Canis lupus familiaris: one gene and its partner. The protein of the gene in region 2 purifies or fractionates together with the protein of the main gene of each other region. This does not show direct contact. Links are inferred from orthologs where the notes say so. Each region holds a gene or a part of one and is shown on either strand. Other genes may lie near its edges.

Evidence for each region.
Region 1: the proteins of EZH1 (region 2) and AEBP2 purify together in Homo sapiens (affinity purification with mass spectrometry; 3 studies listed by BioGRID and IntAct, with this or other methods). This does not show direct contact. The link is inferred for Canis lupus familiaris from reciprocal best matches to the Homo sapiens genes EZH1 and AEBP2.

The regions. Positions count from the first base shown.
Region 1 is NC_049248.1:18,429,964-18,434,260, forward strand, and holds the start of AEBP2 (zinc finger protein AEBP2), read left to right. Parts: upstream 1-1,219; 5' UTR 1,220-1,310; coding exon 1,311-1,981; intron 1,982-4,297. UniProt on the Homo sapiens protein: Acts as an accessory subunit for the core Polycomb repressive complex 2 (PRC2), which mediates histone H3K27 (H3K27me3) trimethylation on chromatin leading to transcriptional repression of the affected target gene.
Region 2 is NC_049230.1:20,146,944-20,150,759, reverse strand, and holds part of EZH1 (histone-lysine N-methyltransferase EZH1), read right to left. Parts: intron 2,855-3,816; coding exon 2,734-2,854; intron 970-2,733; coding exon 793-969; intron 1-792.

The DNA of each region.
Region 1 (4,297 bases), on a different chromosome or scaffold from region 2:
GAGAGAGAGAGTCCAGGCAGGAGCGCTGAGGGGCAGAAGGGAGGGAGAAAAAAAGAGAGATTCCTAGCTGAGTGAGGAGCCCTACCTAGGCCTCAATCTGAGGCCTGAAATCCTGACTTGAGCTGAAACCAAAAGTCAAGGCTTAACGGACATAGCCAGCCACCCAAGCGCCCCTCTTACATAAATATTTAAAAAAACGTGCTTTGATCATTCGAAATAATAAAGCTTTAAATTCTACGATCACAAGAGATTCAAACACGATCCTTAATTTCAATTTATTTCATTTTATTACAAGGGACTAGAAGATGATCAATAAAACAGACATAAAAGTCTATTATTAGGATAAAATTCTGGAGGGATGTGGAATGTAAATACGGAGGATAAAGGAAAGATGGAAATTGCCCAAGTATCAAAGAAACCGTATTTAAAAAAGTGGATTTGGTGGGCCTCAAAACTGCAATATTTGGAGTTGGCCGGCTATATTTAAAAGTGACAATGATAAAATATTCATAACCAGTTGGGGGAAAAAAAATGTAGATGTCTTTTTCAACTGCAGAAGGATGTACAGAATTTGGGGGACTCGTTAGCTACAAAGTCTGAAGATCCTGAGCAGAACCCAAGTCTGCAGGGAGGCCGGCTGAACCATTTCTTGGGGGGCGTTGGAATCACGGTTGGCCCCAAACCTGTGGCTCCACGTTGCGCGCGCGGGCGCAGCAGCTCGCCCCGTGTTCCCCGTTTCCACCGTCGCCAGCACCTCCCCTCTGGGCCGCGCAAGAGCAGGGACTTGTTGGATTCCTGGCTCGTCGCCTGCACACGGGGGTGGGGGTGGGGGTGGGGGTGGGGGGGGCGGACGCTCCCCAAACATCCCCGGAATGAATGACTTTATCGTGAGAACTCGGAAGGCTGTTAAAATCCCCGGCCAGCGCTCCAGCTTTCGTTCTGCGTGTCCCGGCGGCCGCGAGGCCCGGAGCAGGCGTGGGAAGACCCCGAGGAAAGTCTGAGCCCTCGGCGGGGGGGCGGGGCGGGGCGGGGCGGGGGCGGGGCGGGGCGGCCGGGGGCGGCGCCACCTCGGGCCTCCGCGCAGGCGCGCAGCCGTGTCCGCGTGAGTGCGCGCAGCGGCGCGCCTGTCCCCGCGCGGGCTCCGTAGCGCGTGTGCAGGCTGACGCAGCTCGCGGGCCCTCCTCCTGCTCTGCGGCGGCGGCGGCGGCGGCGGAGTTTTGGGCGTTTGGGAGGGGGCGAGCGAGGGAGCTAGAGTCAGGAGAGGGAGGCGGCGGCGGGGAGGAGGAGGAGGAGGAGGAGCAGGCGCCGCCATGGCCGCCGCTATCACCGACATGGCCGACCTGGAGGAGCTCTCTCGCCTGAGCCCTCTGCCCCCCGGCAGCCCCGGCCCGGCGGCGCGGGGCCGGGCTGAGCCCCCCGAGGAGGAGGAGGAAGAGGAGGAGGAGGAGGAGGAGGCCGAGGCCGAGGCGGTGGCGGCGCTGCTGCTGAACGGCGGCGGCGGGGGCGGCGGCGGCGGCGGCGGCGGCGGAGTGGGGGGCGGCGAGGCGGAGACGATGTCGGAGCCGAGCCCCGAGAGCGCCAGCCAGGCCGGCGAGGACGAGGACGAGGAGGAGGACGAGGAGGAGGAGGACGAGAGCAGCAGCAGCGGCGGGGGCGAGGAGGAGAGCAGCGCCGAGAGCCTGGTGGGCAGCAGCAGCGGCGGGAGCAGCAGCGACGAGACGCGCTCGCTGAGCCCCGGCGCCGCCAGCAGCAGCAGCGGGGATGGGGACGGCAAGGAGGGCCTGGAGGAGCCCAAGGGACCCCGGGGCAGCCAGGGCGGCGGCGGGGGCGGCAGCAGCAGCAGCAGCGTCGTCTCCAGCGGCGGCGACGAGGGTTACGGGACCGGGGGCGGCGGAAGCAGCGCGACCTCCGGGGGCCGGCGAGGCAGCTTGGAGATGTCGTCGGACGGGGAACCCCTGAGCCGCATGGACTCGGAGGACAGGTCAGTGCCCGGGAGGGTGTCCCCTTCCCTTCTCCTTTCTGCGCTCGTGCGCCTCTCGAGGGGGGCACGAGGGGACTTTCTTTTTTTTTTTTTTTTTTCTTAAACTGAGGTCCCCCTGCGCCCCAGATCCGCGGCCCCTCCCCCCGGCTCCCAACTCGGAAATCTCTCCTGCCCGCCGCGCCCCTCTCGCCGCGGATGGCCGCCCGCAACTCTCCGACCGGCCCCCCCCAACTCTCCTTTCCCCGCCCTCTTTCCCCCCTCGGCTCTGCGCTCCGGACGGACCTACGGACAGCGCCAACTCCGAAACAGCCCTCAAAGTAGGCCCCGATCCCCTGGCGGAGCTCCCGAGGGCCTCGATGCTCACACCCCGGTACACAGGGTTCGCTCGGCCCCACCGGTGTTCGCGAACACTTGTCAGAACTGTAATTGACAAGTGTTTTCCAACATGGCTGGTCTCGCCTGGATTTAACAGAACTTCCTTGTTCAGGGAGGAGACCCCCCCCCCCCCCCACCCCCCACTATCACTTTTCGCCACTTAGAAGGAAAACGACTGGCCTTTTGTAATTTGGTCAGTGCTTCTACAATTTCTCACGTGTAGTCATTATATACGCTCTCCAAAGTGATTTTGCTAACTTGTATTTTGCTTTGTGACTAAACGTGGGGAGAAAGTTTAGAAACACTTGTAGGAATTGTAGACGAGAATAATGGATTGATGTCCTTTAAGATGATGTGAGGGGATCAAAGAATTGGGAATCGTAATGAGGTACAGCCCGGAAGGCACACCATATTGGTATGTGGTTTAGAATCTTTAACAGGAATGTCATGATTTTTTAGACGGTGATATTAAAGTCGTGGATCGGAGAGATCTCTGAAGAAATAAGTAGCCTTTTTCTAAAGCTTGTTAGAAATAATATGAATAGGGATCCCCTGGTGGCGCAGCGGTTTGGCCCCTGCCTTTGGCCCAGGGCGCGATCCTGAAGATTCAGGATCGAATCCCACGTCGGGCTCCCGGTGCATGGAGCCTGCTTCTCCCTCTGCCTGTGTCTCTGCCTCTCTCTCTCACTGTGTGCCTATCATAAGTAAATAAAAATTAAAAAAAAAAAAAAAAATAACATGAATACAGTCGAAAATACGCTTCATGTTTTGGAGACATTACAGTTTATTGCATTAGTGTGTTTCAGTTATTACTTCTCATCACTTTGGAAAACTTCCTATTTTAACTAATTGGTTTTTAATGTACTTTTTTTTTTTTTAAACACAGAGACAACCATGTCATGCCTATTATACTGCTCCTGGCCTTTATTTTGACCATCTATTAATGTTTTGATGTTTTGATGAACAGTAGGATTTTTAACCATCGGTATTGATTGGTCTTTAAAAGTTTAAGTATTCTGAGGTTTTAGGAATTCGGATTGGTAACTAATAAAACGAACACTTTGGTTTATCGTTAATGTTACAAGGAATACAAAACTCTAAAAAACGTGAAAATATAGCACTAGATTCAGTTCGACATTTACTTTAGAGAAGAAAATACCTTGGATGGATGGATGGAGTAAAGTAGACTGTACAAACCCTAGAGAGACTGTGCTGAACTATGTAGGTATGGCAGGAAGGAGAATCTTTAAGATGATTAAAAATTGATGTGACCCACACAATGAAGCATATGTTATTTATCATTTTAGTATATCCTCGTCCATTGGTACCAGCAGATATTTGAAAGTTGACATCAGTTTATACAGTTAACATCTAGCACAGTTCTTCCATTTATCCAGCGTGTGTGGGCACACACAGGTTTAGCACTGCACAATTTAAATGTCTCTATTCATTCTCACAATTCTGGTGCAAGATAGGAATTACTTTGACTTCCATTTAACAGGTGAAGCAAATTGTCTTACTCAAAAAGTAAGTATGGAGTGGAAGAGCTGGATCCGAACAAAGGTTCTCAAGCCTCCTACTTCCACTTCACAAGAGTTAGAATACTCAACTCAAATAACAAGCTGTATGTGCCAGGATTTTTTTTTTTTTTTTTTAAGTTACTATTTGCTACATCCATTTAGGAGATGAACTATTATTGGTCAAGTAATATTTCAGGAAGTGGAGTTTTGGCTTCATTTCATATTTATAAGATAATCACTGGAATATCTAATTTTTACATCATATTTCAGAGTAAGGACTAAGATATTAGTGCCACAAGTCCAAATAAGGTTAAAGCTTCATAATCAAACATACTTGCTTTTCTTAATGCTTAAACATTAGAGAGTGCAAAATATTGTAATCTTTTTACTGTTTCAGAGTGAAAGATTATCACTTGTACGA
Region 2 (3,816 bases):
AATCAGAGTATGCAAACAAAGCTGTTTGGTCATTTCTCCTTTTGTCACAGCATTTTGATTATAGCTATTTTGTTAACCTAACCACTGGATGTTTAGGAACATATAAGGAAGGTCAGTGCCACCTGGACTTATCTAATAGGCTACCAGTAATAAGGAAATCAGTTATGTATACATTAATGACAAAACCCACAGTCTAAGATAGAAACTAGAGGGGAAAACAGGAGTTTTCGTGGAGAGATGTGAATATTGAATTCATAATGATGGTGCTGAAGAACAAGAGAGTGACACTATGTCCCTGGACATATAATTAAATAACACAGAGCAAAATTAAACATTAAGTTATTAAATATTAACAACATGGAAAAATGCTTATGATAGAAGATCAAATAAAAAGGGATATAAAATTGTGTGTATATGTGGCATGATCCCATTTCACATAATGTATATAAACATCTTGATTTATATATATGCTTTAAAAACTTTGAGATGTAGTTGACATATACTATTATATTTATTTTAGATATGTGTATACGCATACTCTTGGTGTATATATATGTATATATACATATACATTTTTTAGACCTAGAAGGAGATATTAATGCCGGTTATTCCTTGGTAGTAAGATTACAGGATAATTATATTTCTTTTTTATAACTTTCCATATTTCCCAAACACACTACTTTGTTTTCCTTTTAAGTGGGCCAAATGAGAAGCACCAACAGCCTTTAATAACAATTCTTTCTGTTTCTCCATTCTTTCTTCTCCCTGTCACTTTCAAAATGGAATATTTACCTTCAAGAGCATGTCTTTTTCTCTTTCTTGTTACTGGCAGATCTTCTTTGTTGTCATCTTGCTTTCCATCTGAGGTGTCATTGTGCCCTTCCTCCTCATCATCTGAGTATTGATTCAGAGCATCTACCAACTCCAGGAATACTGCATCACTAATCAGGACAGATCCAGGGATCATCTCTGGAACATAAAGATTAGATGGATTAGCAATGATCATTTCATGCTCCATTAATCCTTCCAGGAATTCCAGTATTCACTCCTGAGGCCCAGAGAGATGACATATGTACATTTTTATATGAACAACCAGGAAATTACAATAATTTGATTTGTTTTTAGAACTGCACCAGTTCAGCTGGCTAGAGTGGGAAATCCAGTTATATAGACTTTATTTGTACTAGGATAGCTCATTCCTCAGTTACAAATCAACCTGTATTTATGGTCCAGAATCTCAAAAAAGTGTAAAAACAATACAGATGGAACAGAGAAAGAATTATAACATCAAAATGTACTTGGTTTTGCTGCTGATGGCTTGGTAATGACTTCTCTGACTCAAAACACAGCATTACCTTCCTAAAATCATACTGTATGGGGTTACACTACAGCTTAGGACAGTCTTTGAACACTAGGAGGCACTGTGGATAAAACTGTATTTTCAACAGTACCCAAAAGGGTCAAAAGAGCTGGTAAGGCCATTGGTTTGCAAAGCCATGGGGAGTCTCTCCCCATCTTCCCACTTCTTACACACTAGCAGCCTTTTCTAGAATTACAACTAATCCAAATGACCTGCTTGCAACAAAGTCAGAATATTATACACAATTTTTGGGAGATCCAGGGGGTATCCAGATCAGAGTAGAACAGAGAGATTATGCTCATTGCCATTCTAAGAGAAAGGGAAGTGAAGAACAAAAAGGCTTTGGATGGACTTAGGGAAAACTCCTAAGATCATACTTCTCTGTGCACTAAACTTTCTCTCCTGCTACTGATTACTATATATATAAAATCCTTTTATGTCCCAACTCCCTTTTCTTCTTAATATACATTACTTTAAAAAATTATATTTAAATTCAATTTAGTCAACATATAGTGTATTACTAGTTTCAAGAGTAGAATTTAGTGATTCATCAGTTGCATATAACACCCAGTGCTTCCAACTCCTTTTATTTTATTTTTTTTAAAGATTTTATTGATTTATTCATGAGAGACACAGAAAGAGAGAGAGAGGCAGAGACACAGGCAGAGGGAGAAGCAGGATCCATGCAGGGAGCCCAACTGGGACTTGATCCCAGGTCTCCAGGATCACACCCTGGGATGAAGGCAGGTGCTAAACCGCTGAGCCACCTGGATTGCCCTTCCAACTCCTTTTAAAATTTAACTGAGGGGGTACCTGGGTAGTGCAGTCAGTTAAGTATCCAACTCTTGGTTTTGGCTCAGGTCATGATCTCAGGGTTGTGGGATCAAGCCCTGCACTGAGCTCTCAGCTCAGCATGGAGTCTGCTTAAGACTCTCTCTCCCTCTCCTTCTGCCCCTCCCTCTATTCTCTCTCTCTAAAGTAAATAAATTTTGGGGATCCCTGGGTGGCTCAGAGGTTTAGCGCCTGCCTTCAGCCCAGGGCCTGATCCTGGAATCCCAGGATTGAGTCCCACATTGGGCTCCCTGCATGGAGTCTGCTTCTCCCTCTGCCTGTGTCTCTGCCTCTCTCTCTGTGTCCCTCATGAATAAATAAAATCTTTTTTAAAAAGTAATAAAGTAAATAAATCTTAAATAAATAAATAAAATTTGACCAAGGGCATTTTTAATATAAAGTTTTTACTCTTAGCCATGTGATGACATTGAAATATTCTTCAGCGAGTACACATGAGGCAGCAGGTAAGAGCAAGATGATTATTTACCAAAGAAAGGGCACCACTCTAATAAAGTTTTTCCCAAAGAACCCAGCACCACTACCTTCTTCGCCGTGGACTTTCCCATCATAGTTATTGATCAGCTCCTCAATGAAAGTCTCATCTTCTTCTTTCACCTCATCTCCCATGTAGGGAATATTGCACAAAACTGTCTCATCTTCTACCTAAAATCAAACCAGATGTAATTCATTCCATGAGTCCACTATGCAGCTCCTCTTTCCTTTTTAATGGAATCTTTTGTTATTAGGCCTTTTTTGCTGCTTGAATTTCCTGAAAACATTTTTGACAGAGTTTCCTGCATTTTTATAGACTGGCCATTCTGTTTTGCCACCAAAACCTCAAACTGGAAGGGGCAATGCTACTCTTAGGGAAAAATGTCAGCTTAACTACTTGAGGATATCAACTATTAAATGTTTAGCCTGATACTAACATTTGATATTTCCACCAACATCTAGACTCTGACAGCACACTTATTATTCACATCTATTATCTAATTTTATCTACTAAATGTCATTGTAAAATAGGTACAAATAGCACTTAAACAACAGCCTAAAAAATCTTCAATTCTAATTCTTTTAGTAAGTGGAGACATAAATGAAAAGGAAAGCTTTCCAGAGTGTAACCTGCAATATAACTAGAACAGTTAGAACAAAATCTAGGCAACTGTAAAGTTTCTGGATATTCTCTTATACAGACTAAGACTAACTTCCAATAATCATAATAAAAAACTATGATTATAACTCATGTCCATCACTCAACTTTAGTGGGGACCTAAAGTTAACTGCAGCATGAGCTATGAATATTTACTGGCTAAAGAAACAGTATTAACAGATTTTTGTTACTGTTGTTCAGTAGAAAACATGATCATTCTTAAGTCCTCAAGTATTAAGTAAAATTACAGTGAAGTTTTATTCTAAGATAAATTCTAAGTTTTATTCTAAGATCCCTTCTGTAAACCGATATCCTATTCCAGTCAGTGCAACTGCTGTCATCAGGCAGATGATAAGCAATGACAGTATTTAGAGATGACTGATCATCAGAATCACAACTAATTCTAGAAGGAGTCAGCATAAACGCCCAGATGAAAGGCTCAAGGATCTGTGTGCACCTCTGTTATCTCGGTTGC